Oryctolagus cuniculus: one gene and its partners. The protein of the gene in region 2 binds, or shares a complex with, the protein of the main gene of each other region. Links are inferred from orthologs where the notes say so. Each region holds a gene or a part of one and is shown on either strand. Other genes may lie near its edges.

Evidence for each region. The genes of interacting proteins can lie anywhere in the genome.
Region 1: GEMIN4 (region 2) and STRAP share a complex: the UniProt entries of both Homo sapiens proteins name them as parts of the SMN-Sm complex. The link is inferred for Oryctolagus cuniculus from reciprocal best matches to the Homo sapiens genes GEMIN4 and STRAP.
Region 3: GEMIN4 (region 2) and GEMIN2 share a complex: the UniProt entries of both Homo sapiens proteins name them as parts of the SMN-Sm complex. The link is inferred for Oryctolagus cuniculus from reciprocal best matches to the Homo sapiens genes GEMIN4 and GEMIN2.

Annotation. Positions count from the first base shown.
Region 1 is NC_091440.1:113,725,400-113,728,915, reverse strand, and holds part of STRAP (serine-threonine kinase receptor-associated protein), read right to left. Parts: intron 3,326-3,516; coding exon 3,253-3,325; intron 1,034-3,252; coding exon 937-1,033; intron 20-936; coding exon 1-19. UniProt on the Homo sapiens protein: The SMN complex catalyzes the assembly of small nuclear ribonucleoproteins (snRNPs), the building blocks of the spliceosome, and thereby plays an important role in the splicing of cellular pre-mRNAs.
Region 2 is NC_091448.1:46,442,216-46,446,369, reverse strand, and holds the start of GEMIN4 (gem-associated protein 4), read right to left. Parts: upstream 2,813-4,154; 5' UTR 2,690-2,812; coding exon 2,680-2,689; intron 1,719-2,679; exon of another isoform or gene 573-1,718; intron 1-572. Other genes in the region: diazepam-binding inhibitor-like 5, read left to right, coding at 3,576-3,845. UniProt on the Homo sapiens protein: The SMN complex catalyzes the assembly of small nuclear ribonucleoproteins (snRNPs), the building blocks of the spliceosome, and thereby plays an important role in the splicing of cellular pre-mRNAs.
Region 3 is NC_091443.1:36,521,818-36,525,333, reverse strand, and holds part of GEMIN2 (gem-associated protein 2), read left to right. Parts: intron 1-546; coding exon 547-660; intron 661-3,516. UniProt on the Homo sapiens protein: The SMN complex catalyzes the assembly of small nuclear ribonucleoproteins (snRNPs), the building blocks of the spliceosome, and thereby plays an important role in the splicing of cellular pre-mRNAs.

The DNA.
Region 1 (3,516 bases), on a different chromosome or scaffold from region 2:
AGTAGCATGATCCCAAAGGCTGCGAAAAGAAAAGATCAAAATGTGGCAATATTTACTCATTTAATTTACTCATGTTAAGAAAACTTACAATGGACTATGACTATGCACAAAATTGTCATGGGGTTAAAATGAGTGTTGGTGAACTCTTTTAAGTTACACTTGTGACTCTTGTGATTCGGAAACTACTTCAAAATACAAGTCACTGATTAAAACCACAATACAGCCGGTGCCGCGGCTCAATAGGCTAATCCTCCGCCTAGCGGCGCTGGCACACCAGGTTCTAGTCCCGGTCAGGGAGCCGGATTCTGTCCCGGTTGCCCCTCTTCCAGGCCAGCTCTCTGCTGTGGCCAGGGAGTGCAGTGGAGGATGGCCCAAGTGCTTGGGCCCTGCACCCCATGGGAGACCAGCTACAGTCATTTCAAGTCCTAAATAACAGACACAGACAATTTTGGGTTCCTACACAATGGGAAATTGGAAGCTTGTTGGGGAAATCGACCGTACTAGCAAACAACTTAGCAAAACTATGTCACTAAAACACGTAAATCCTCATATCATCTATTTCAGCACTGCTGTAAACAGTGGTTCTTATACTGTTGTAGTGACTCATGGCAACTCTCTTTCCAAAAAACATGTGTATGTCAGTACCCAATATTTTGCATAAAATTTCAGTAGCTCCATGGACCACCCCCCGCACCCTTTAGCTAACTAGTCCCACAGACGTAGATTAAGAACTCCTGCTAGTAAAGGTGTCAATAGTCTTAATTAAGGGTCTTCTGAATTCTGCTCTGGCTATGCAATAGTAAATGGATAGCTCCACATAAATGTGACCTATGCGCATTTTAAAGTTCAGACCATTTTTCCTACATAATAGTAAAAATAATACTTAAAAGTAAAAACTTTTTTCAAACTTCAAATTATCAAAGAAAAATTACCTACCGAACAGTTTTATCATCAGCTGAAAGAATCTGTTTATCCTCACTGCACCATAAAGCCTTTTTAATACCAGATGTGTGACCACTGATTTCCTTAGGTTCTTAAGAAGAAAAAATTTTAAATATTGTTAATATTGAATTTTTTAAACCAAGCAAATTAGATAGGTAATAAGAAAAAGAAACACATTTTATGTTAGACTGCACCTTTTCTAAGTGCAGCCCAAAAAAGAATAATTTAGTTTTTCTATACTGGTTCCTTACAGAACAAAAATTTATCTGTACAACAAAGAATCCAAGAACAATGATGCCTGCCTTATTGCATTTGAGTAAATCAATAATAACTCTTTCTTGGCTAATTTTCTGTACAACTAGTAATGTTAAAAAATAGCACACTGTACCACAATGAAGTAATAACTAGTATGAATAACTAATGTGGCATAGTTTAAGAAGAACATGGGGCCGGCGCTGCGGCTCAATAGGCTAATCCTCCGCCTATGGCGCCAGCACCCTGGGTTCTAGTCCCGGTCAGGGCGCCGGATTCTGCCCTGTTTGCTCCTCTTCCAGTCCAGCTCTCTGCTGTGGCCCAGGAGGGCAGTGGAGGATGGCCCAAGTGCTTGGGCCCTGTACCCACATTAGGAGACCAGGAAGAAGCAGCTGGCTCCTGGCTTCGATCAGTGCAGCACACCGGCCGCAGCAGCCATTTGAAGAACATGGGCCCAGGAATAAGAAAACCAGAGCTAATCCTAGTGCTGCCATTAACCCTGTCACCTGCATCCAGACATTGTTGGTAGAAATTAAGAAGAAAAAAGACACTGGGGATAGGAGAAATGGGAAATAAAAACCAGCACAGCAATTTCCAGAAACGCTTCTACATTGAGAGGAAAGCAGTAAAAAAATAAAAAATAAATAATAAAAAAAAAAGGGAACCCATCTCTGTAGGAGAATTTCCCTTCAAAACATTTCAAAAAATCATCATCATCTCTAGGCAAAGGCAGCTACTGGAAGCAATGCCATTCAATAGTACTTCGACTTTGGGCACGTTACCTGTTTGAAACTGCATTTCTTCATCTGTAAACTGGGCTACAAAGTTAGGGCACCTCAGAGGCACTTTACATGGGTGTCACACAGCAAAACTTCAGTTAATTGCTACCATTTCTAGGTGGAAGAGCAACTCAAACAGAAGCTCGGGAAAGGTAAACGAGGATGAAAAACACCCACCCAAACCCTGAACTACCTTGCTGCAGCACATAGTTTCACTGATTAAAAGAGGCTGGAGAACTCTGCTTTGTTTTGGCATAGAGGTAGTAAAAAGAAAGCAGAGCAACACTCCTGGGTGCCAATGAATACAGAAATCTACAAATGCCTCACCCTAGAAATGCTTTTAGAAAGCAGTTCCCTCAGGCAAATAACTGCTTACTTTTCAATGTAGCTTTGAGGTACTTAGGAAATCTAATAGATAGTAATTACTACATAATAAGTGAAACAAAATTTGGTTTATCATGTTTCGGTAGCTTTTAAACTATACTTGTATTTACAGCTAGGAAATCATTACAATACTACAAAAATGGAGGTAACTATCTCAACTGTGTAAGAAGAAATGCCTACAAATTCTGTACGACGACAGTTCATAGAGGAAATGACAGCTCCTGCCACCAAAATGTTAAAAATGTATATGCCTAGGTATATATCAAAGCCTTCTTAATGAAATTTAAAACCAAATGGCAAATTAGGATGCAATAAAGAACCTTCGAAAGCCAGTAAGTTCTCTTTATCTCCATCTGTCTCTGTAATTCTGCCTTTCAAATTAAATAAACAAATCTTAAACTAATACAAATTTTAATAAAAGGCCTGACATTGTGGTACAGGCATTAAGCCATGGCCTCAACACCAGCATATCATACAGGAACTGGGCTGCTCCCCTTATGAATCAGCTCCCTGCTACTGTGTCTGGAAAAGCAAAAGATGGGTCAAGTATTTGGGTCCCTGCATGTGGGACACTGAGACGGAGCTATGGACTCCTGGCTTCAGTGATCATTTGGGGAGTGAACCAGTAGATGGAAATCTCTGTCTCTTTCTCCCTCTGTCACTCTACATTTCAAACTAATAATTAAAAAAAAAAAAGAAAAAGATTATCTGCATAGGAAATCTGGAATGATATGAAACCAAAGCTAAAGGTATTAAAAGTGTTGAATACTAGATGATGGATTATGTTTTAATTTTCTTTCTTATGACTAGCTTCCAAATTTTAGTACTCTTTTAATCAAAGTTATTTACATTAAAATGAAATAAAACTATAAACTCATACATTAATTATGCTTACCTGCTTCAGGTTTGTTCAAATCATATATGCGTAACAGTTTATCCTGTCCACCAGTTAACAAATAATTACTATCCTGAAAAGACAAATAAAATGTTAACAGATGATCCATTTAAGAATGTTTCTCTCAAACTTCCTCAATACCAAATAAAATCTTATAGCTCACAGACATCACAAAGACATGCCACACACAAGCAATTACTTCTGAGAGAACACTATAGAACAGTTGCCCTTCTCTTAACTGTCAAACCCCTTAGGCTTCACAGT
Region 2 (4,154 bases):
ACATGAAAGGACACGGGTCTTTATCAGGTCCGTTACTTCGGGCCCAGGAACTAAATTCAGACTGCAAACACTGCTCACTGTCCAGCACTGACTCCGCCCCTTCCCAGGACCCAGAGATGCAAGCCCTTGCACAGTCCCCCAAGCCCCAAGAGCACCTCTTCACCATTTCACAGGGCAGACGCCAGCAGAGAAGATGCTGAATGGGGAACACTGAATCACACAGCCCTGCAAGGGCGGCGGAAGGCCCAGGGAGGAGACTCCCCCGCGCCCTGGCTGGGAAGGCCCCCCGCGCCTAGGCAGACCCCCTCCTTCAGCGGAGGAGCTCAAGGATCTGCCTGGGGCAATGGCTCTTCTCTCCAGCCACAGCTCTCCCACAGCCCCAAAGTATGCTCCCTACTGAACACTCTGGCCAGCACCGGGCCAGGCTGAAGACAGCAGCTTCATCTGGGTCTCCTCCCACTGCTCTTCCCAGGCCATCAGTCCGGAGCTGGATTGAAAGTGGAGCAGCTGGGACATGAACTGGTGTGGCAGGCAGTGGCTCTGCCTGCTACGCCAAAATGCTGGCTCCTCACCTGTGACTCTTCTCGGCGCGCTGCGCCGATCCGAAGCCAGGAGCCAGGTGCTTCCTCCTGGTCTCCCATGCGGGTGCAGGGCCCAAGCACTTGGGCCATCCTCCGCTGCCCTCCTGGGCCACAGCAGAGAGCTGGACTGGAAGAGGAGCAACCAGGACAGAACTGGTGCCCCAACTGGACTAGAATCTGGGGTGCCGGCGCCACAGGCAGAGGATTAGCCTAGTGAGCCGCGGCGCCGGCCAACCTGTGACTCTTCTCAGTGTAATTTTATCGCACTATCAGCTCAGCAGAGCAGATGCGTGGTCCCCAACAGACACAGGAATGTCCAAGTGCTCCCTGAACAAGCCCCAGGAACAGTTAGCAACTGGGAAAAACCCAAGTGTTTTATCACTAATGGTTAACTGGTGCCCACTTCTGATGTTTGCTAAGTGCCCGCGCACACCAGGCACCGTGCTAGCTGGTACACATGGAAGGTCTCTTTTAATCTTCAAAATAACCTTCTGAGGACTATTCCTGTTTTAGAGGTTGATGTTCAGGTATTTTGCTCAGGGTGTCACCACCACAAAGCAGTGGCACTGTGACTTAATGGTTTGAGGCCCTCCCCACCATGCACCTGGGAAAGCAGCGGAAGATGGGCAAGTCCTTTGGCCCCTGCACTCACGTGGGAGACCTGGAAGAAGCTTCCGGCTTCAGCCTAGCTCAGCCCCAGCCATTGCCGCCATTTGGGGAGTGAATCAGTGAATGGACGATCTCTCTCTGTTTCTCCCTAACTCTGCCTTTCAAATAAATAATTTTTTTTTTTTTTGACAGGCAGAGTTAGACAGTGAGAGAGAGAGAGAAAAAGGTCTTCCTTTTTCCGTTGGTTCACCCCCAAAATGGCCGCTATGGCCGCCGTGCTGCGTCGATCTGAAGCCAGGAGCCAGGTGCTTCTCCTGGTCTCCCATGCGGGAGCAGGGCCCAAGGACCTGGGCCATCCTCCACTGCCTTCCCGGGCTACTGCAAAGAGCTGGACTGGAAGAGGGGCAACCAGGACAGAATCCGGCGCCCCAACCGGGACTAGAACCCAGGGTGCCGGCGCCACAGGCAGAGGATTAGCCTAGTGAGCCACGGCGCCAGCCTCAAATAAATAAATCTTAAAAAAAAAAAAAAAAAAATTCGCCACAGCTGCAGGGATGCCCCTTCCCAATCTGTCATTCCACCACCACGAGGAGCTGGCTGGGGGACAGACTCAAACCCTGCTCCACACCATACTACTATCAGCGTTTCTCAAGCTGCCTCCCGGGCTCAACCCGAGTTTAAGGGCATATCCCACAGGTGGGGACACTTGGCAGGAGCCACTGACTTCTATTAGGTCCTCCCTCCCTTTTTTCCAGACCTTGCCAGGATTCTCAACCAACAGGCAGGCAGGTTCAAAGAGCACCATATTCCAAGTGGGACACCCACGTCCCAGACCCAAGTGCCCGGGTTCGAATCCCGGCTCCGCTTCCTATCCGGCTTCCGGACCATGTACACCGGGGGAGGCAACAGGTGATGGCTCAAGCACTTGGGTGCCTGCACCCGAGTGGGAGACCTGGACTGAGTGCCAGGGCATCTGGGCACTGAGCCAGCGGATCCCAGATCAGAAGAAAGCAGGGCTTCCGCAGCCGCGCGCCTCCGCCCAGGCCCCGCGGCAGGGGCACTCCGCACCCGGCGATCCCAAAGTTTACTCCCGGCCACTCGGCGAGGGCGGCGCGGTGTCGTCACACCCACGTTATCCGGCAGGGAACGCCAGTGGGTGAGCAACTCGCTGAGCAACTCCGCGGACGCTCAGCTAGCGAGGCCGGCATGGCCCCCTGCACGTGCGCTAAGCCCGTCGCTCCCGGGACACCTCGCTTTACCGCCGCTCCGCTTCTCACGTACGACGCGGGACCGGAGGGCGCAGGAGGCCGGCTCAGGAGCGCTGCGCCCGGCCTCGCCGCCGCCCTCCCGCTCTAAGGACGCCCTGGATCCTCCTCAGCCCCTCCCGACCACGAGGGCCCCAGGAGCCCGAGCCCGAGCCCGCCGGGCGTGCGCGGCGGGAGGCGGCGCGTCGCGGGCCGGCCCGGGGCAGCGTAACCGGGGCACCCACCTAGGTCCATGGCGGCGAAGCGGGAGGTGGCGCGGGGGGCGCCAGGCCGCCCCTCCCCCTCGAAAGCCAGGAGCGCGGCGCAGGCGCCACCGCACAATGGGCGGCGCGGGGGGCGGCAGGCCCCGCCCACGGCCTCTGCCGCCGCTCTCGCGCCGTTCGCCGCCGACTCCCGCCGCTGCGCGCGCACGCGCGCTCCTCACCAGAGAGCTCGCGGCGCCTTGGCCGCCAAGCCCACAGCGCCCCCTCCCGGCCCGAGGCCTCCCTCCAGCCAGCAGGCAGGTTCCGGGGGTCTTCCTCTCCCGCCGCGTGCTCCGCCGGGCCACCCACCTGGCTTCCTAGGTCCCAGTCGGTGCTGTGCAGGAGCCCCCGGCCTCGTAGTCACCGTCCCGCAGGACAGGAGCGCGGGTATGTCCCGCACACAGTTCACCCATACTGATAAAAACATGCACCTGAGGCCGGCGCCTCGGCTCACTTGGCTAATCCTCCACCTGCGGCGCCGGTACCCCAGGTTCTAGTCCCCGTTGTTCCTCTTCCAGGCCAGCTCTCTGCTGTGGCCAGGGAGCGCAGTGGAGGATGGCCCAAGTGCTTGGGCCCTGCACCCCATGGGAGACCAGGAGAAGCACCTGGCTCCTGCCTTCGGATCAGCGCAGCGCCGGCCATAGCGGCCATTTGGGGTGAACCAACGGAAGGAAGACCTTTCTCTCTGTCTCTCCCTAACTCTGCCTGTCAAAAAACAAAACAAACAAACAAACAAAAAAACCATACACCTGAACAGACACAGTGCCGTCTCCCTTTCCTTTCTAGCCAAGACCTCGTTACTGGCCTCACGTGTTTCTAACTCTTCCCCCCGCAGCTCCTGCGCCGGCTAGGAAGGCCAGAGGGGCCGCGCCTCAGGCATGGCAATGTGCCAGGTAGAGTTCGAGTTGGCGTGCGCGGCCGTGAAGCAGCTGAAGAACCCCATGAGCGATCAGGAGAAGCTGCAGCTGTACAGCCTCTATAAACAGGCCACCCAGGGCGACTGCAACATCCCCGAGCCTCCTACGTCGGAAGTGAAAGCCACGGCCAAGTGGGAGGCGTGGAACAAGAATAAAGGCATGTCCAAGATGGATGCCATGAGGAACTACGTGGCCAAAGTGGAAGAGCTGAAGAAAACTGAGGCTGGCTAGGGAAGCGGCACGGCTCCCCTGGCAGGGAGTGTGCTTCTCCAGTGCCCTGGAGGGGGGCGGGGACGGCTGGGCATCAATAAACCCCTTAGACCACGTGCCTGCGACTGCTCGTGGAAGGGGGGCTTGGGGCCGAGAAGCCCACTCCCCTGGCTCTCCTCTCGGCATGGTTCTGAGTGCCCGTCCCAGCCTCCCATGCCCAGAACATGGGAGCTGTTTGTCAGGGCTGGGAGGAGACTCATGGCACACGCCTGTCCTGAGATCAGCAACTTGGTCTCTAGAGAGGCTGTGGCCCTAGACCCCTAATTTCTT
Region 3 (3,516 bases), on a different chromosome or scaffold from region 2:
CTTCTGAGATATTAGAAGTTAGGGCCTCATGGGCCAGCGCCGCGGCTCACTAGGCTAATCCTCCACCTAGCGGCGCCGGCACACCGGGTTCTAGTCCCGGTCGGGGCGCCGGATTCTGTCCCGGTTGCCCCTCTTCCAGGCCAGCTCTCTGCTGTGGCCAGGGAGTGCAGTGGAGGATGGCCCAAGTGCTTGGGCCCTGCACCCCATGGGAGACCAGGAAAAGCACCTGACTCCTGGCTCCTGCCATCGGATCAGCATGGTGCGCCGGCCACAGCGTGCCGGCCGCAGCGGCCATTGGAGGGTGAACCAACGGCAAAGGAAGACCTTTCTCTCTGTCTCTCTCTCTCACTGTCCACTCTGCCTGTCAAAAAAAAAAAAAAAAAAAAGAAGTTAGGGCCTCAATATATGAATTTTGGGGCACACATTTCTGCCCATAACTGACCCCATATATTTGTGTTGAGCTGGTAAGAATAGGGCGATTCTTTTTTTAACGTTCACTATAAAGAATAAGTACAGGAAAATTAATTCCTTTTTTTTTCCTCTTAGCCAAAGTCTGAAGATGAAGAAGGCTGGAAAAAATTTTGTCTGGGTGAAAGGTTATGTGCTGAAGGGGCTGTTGGACCACCTACAAATGAAAGCCCTGGAATTGATTATGTGCAAGTAGGTAATAATGCAGATAAACAAAGCATAGCATTTTAATTTTGGTGCCTTACTTAGTGTAAATACAACCTGGGCCAAATCAAGTCTGTAGCCTGTTTGTCTATACCCCATGAACTAAGAACGATTTTTGTGTTTTTAAAGCATTGTAAAAAAAGTAACATACAAAATGTGAGAAATAATATGTAGCCTGCAAAGCCTAAAATATTTACTGACTAGCTGTTTACATGAAATATTGCCAATCTTTCATTTATTTTATTGAGTATAATCTACAGAGTGGCAGACTAGTTCCTGAAACAATTCACTGTGGCATATTGTATGTCGACTTCATATCTCATGTCTCAGTGGTAGAAGAATTTTGAGTTAGATAGGAATTAATTTGTGGAAATGATTAGGCACAGGTCAAACACTGAGTTAAGAGTACTTAAGAAAACATTACATAATCAGAGAGATGGCTTTAAAATCTTCAGTAAGTTACCTATTCTGGAGAGGAAATGTTAAGAAAGTATTTATTAGGGGGCCAGTGTTGTGGTATAGCAAATAAAGCTACCACCTGCAACGCAGCATCCTGGTTCATGTTTGCTCACTTCCGATCCAGCTCCCTGCTAATGACCTGGGAAAATCACCAGAACATGGCCCTAGTGCTAGGCCCCTGTACCCAAGTGGGAGACCCAAAAGAAGCTTCTGGCTCCTGGGTTTGGCCAGGCCCAGCTCTGGCTATTGTCATCTTTTGGGGAGTGAACCAGCAGATGGAAGATAACTCTCTGTGTGTGTCTCTTCCTCTCTCTCTGTAATCATGCCTTTCAAATAAATAATTTTTTAAATATTTATTTTATTAATTTGAAAGACAGAGTTACAGATAGAGGCAGAGACAGAGAGAGAGAGAGGTCTTCCATCCGCTGGTTCACTCCCCAGATGGCCACAACAGCCGGAGCTGGGCTGATCTGAAGCCAGGAGCCAGGAGCTTCTTCTGGGTCTCCCACGTGGGTGCAGGGGCCCAAGAACTTGGGCCATCTTCTGCTGCTTTCCCAGGCCATAGCAGAGAGCTGGATTGGAAGAGGAGCAGCTGGGACTAGAACCAGCGCCCATATGGGATGTCAGTGCTTCAGGTCAGGGCTTTAACCCACTGCACCTCAGCACCAGCCCCTAAATAAATAAAGCTTAAAATAAATAAATAAATAAATAAATAGGCAGCTCCTGGCTCCTGGCTGTTGCAGCTTTCTGGGGAGTGAACCAATAGATAGACTATCTCTCTGTCTCTCCTCTCTCTGTAATTCTGCCTTTCAAATAATTTTTTTTTTAAAAGAATCCATTTAAGTTTGACATGGCTTCAGTCGTAAATTACGTGGCCCACTCCTTGTCCTTCAGGATTCACCTGATCTCAAGTAGGTAGATGTTTCTTTTTTTTGTTTAAGATTTTATTTATTTATTTATTTATTTGAGAAGTAGAGTTATAGACAGTGAGAGGGAAAAACAGAGAGAAAGGTCTTCCATCCATTGGTTATTAATTTGAAAGACAGAGTTACAGATAGAGGCAGAGAGAGAGAGAGGTCTTCCGTTCGTTGGTTCACTCCCCAAATGGCCGCAATGGCTGGAGCTGCGCCAATCCAAAGCCAGGAGCCAGGTGCTTCTTCCCAGTCTCCCATATGAGTGCAGGGGCCCAAGGACTTGGGCCATCTTCCACTGCTTTCCCAGGCCACAGCAGAGAGCTGGACTGGAAGAGGAGCAGCCAGGACTAGAACCAGTGCCCATATGGGATGCTGGTGCCGCAGGCAGAAGATTAACCTACTGCGCCATGGCACTGGCCCCAGTAGATGTTTCTATAAAACCCACTGCAGGGAGCCACTGTTGTAGTACATCTGGTTGCTGCTGCTGGGGAAGCTGGCATCCCATATCAGAGTGCCAATTCCAGCCCCTAATGCTCCTCTTTGGATCCACTTCCCTATTGGAGTGCCAGGGAAGAAAGAAAAGGATAACCCAAGTACTTAGGTCTTTGCCACCCACGTGGACGACCGAGATGGAGTTCCAGGCTCCTGGCTTCTACCTGGACCAACCCAGCCATTGTGGACATTTGAGGAGTGAACCAATGGATGGAAGATGTGACTCTGTTTTTCACCCTCTCTCTTTCACTCTGCCTTTCAAATACATAAATTTTTTAAAATATAAACAGCTCCAAAAATCATTTAAAAGGCCAAGAGTCACCTCACATACAGACATATCAAACAAAAACAAGAAGCAAAAGATCATACATCCCACAGAAAGGAAATACAATTTGTTTCTGTATGACTGGATGCCCAGCTTCCATTTTAATAGAAATATAACTTGGCTGGCGCTGTGGCGCAGGGGGATAAAGCCCTGCCATAAGGGTGTCAGTTCTAGTCCCAGCTGCTCTTCTTCCAATCCAGCTCTCTGCTGTGGCCTGGGAAAGTAGGAGAAAATGACGCAAGTCCTTGGGCCCCTGCACCCACATGGGAGACCCGGAAGAAGCTCCTGGGGACGGCGCCGTGGCTCAATAGGCTAATCCTCCGCCTTGTGGCGCCGGCACACCGGGTTCTAGTCCCGGTCGGGGCGCCAGATTCTGTCCTGGTTGCCCCTCTTCCAGGCTAGCTCTCTGCTATGGCCCGGGAGTGCAGTGGAGGATGGCCCATGTGCTTGGGCCCTGCACCCCATGGGAGACCAGGATAAGTACCTGGCTCCTGCCATCGGATCAGCGCGGTGCGCCGGCCACAGCGCGCCACCCACAGCGGCCATTGGAGTGTGAACCAACAGCAAAGGAAGACCTTTCTCTCTGTCTCTCTCACTGTCCAATCTGCCTGTCAAAAAAAAAAAAAAAAAAAGAAGAAGCTCCTGACTTCTGGC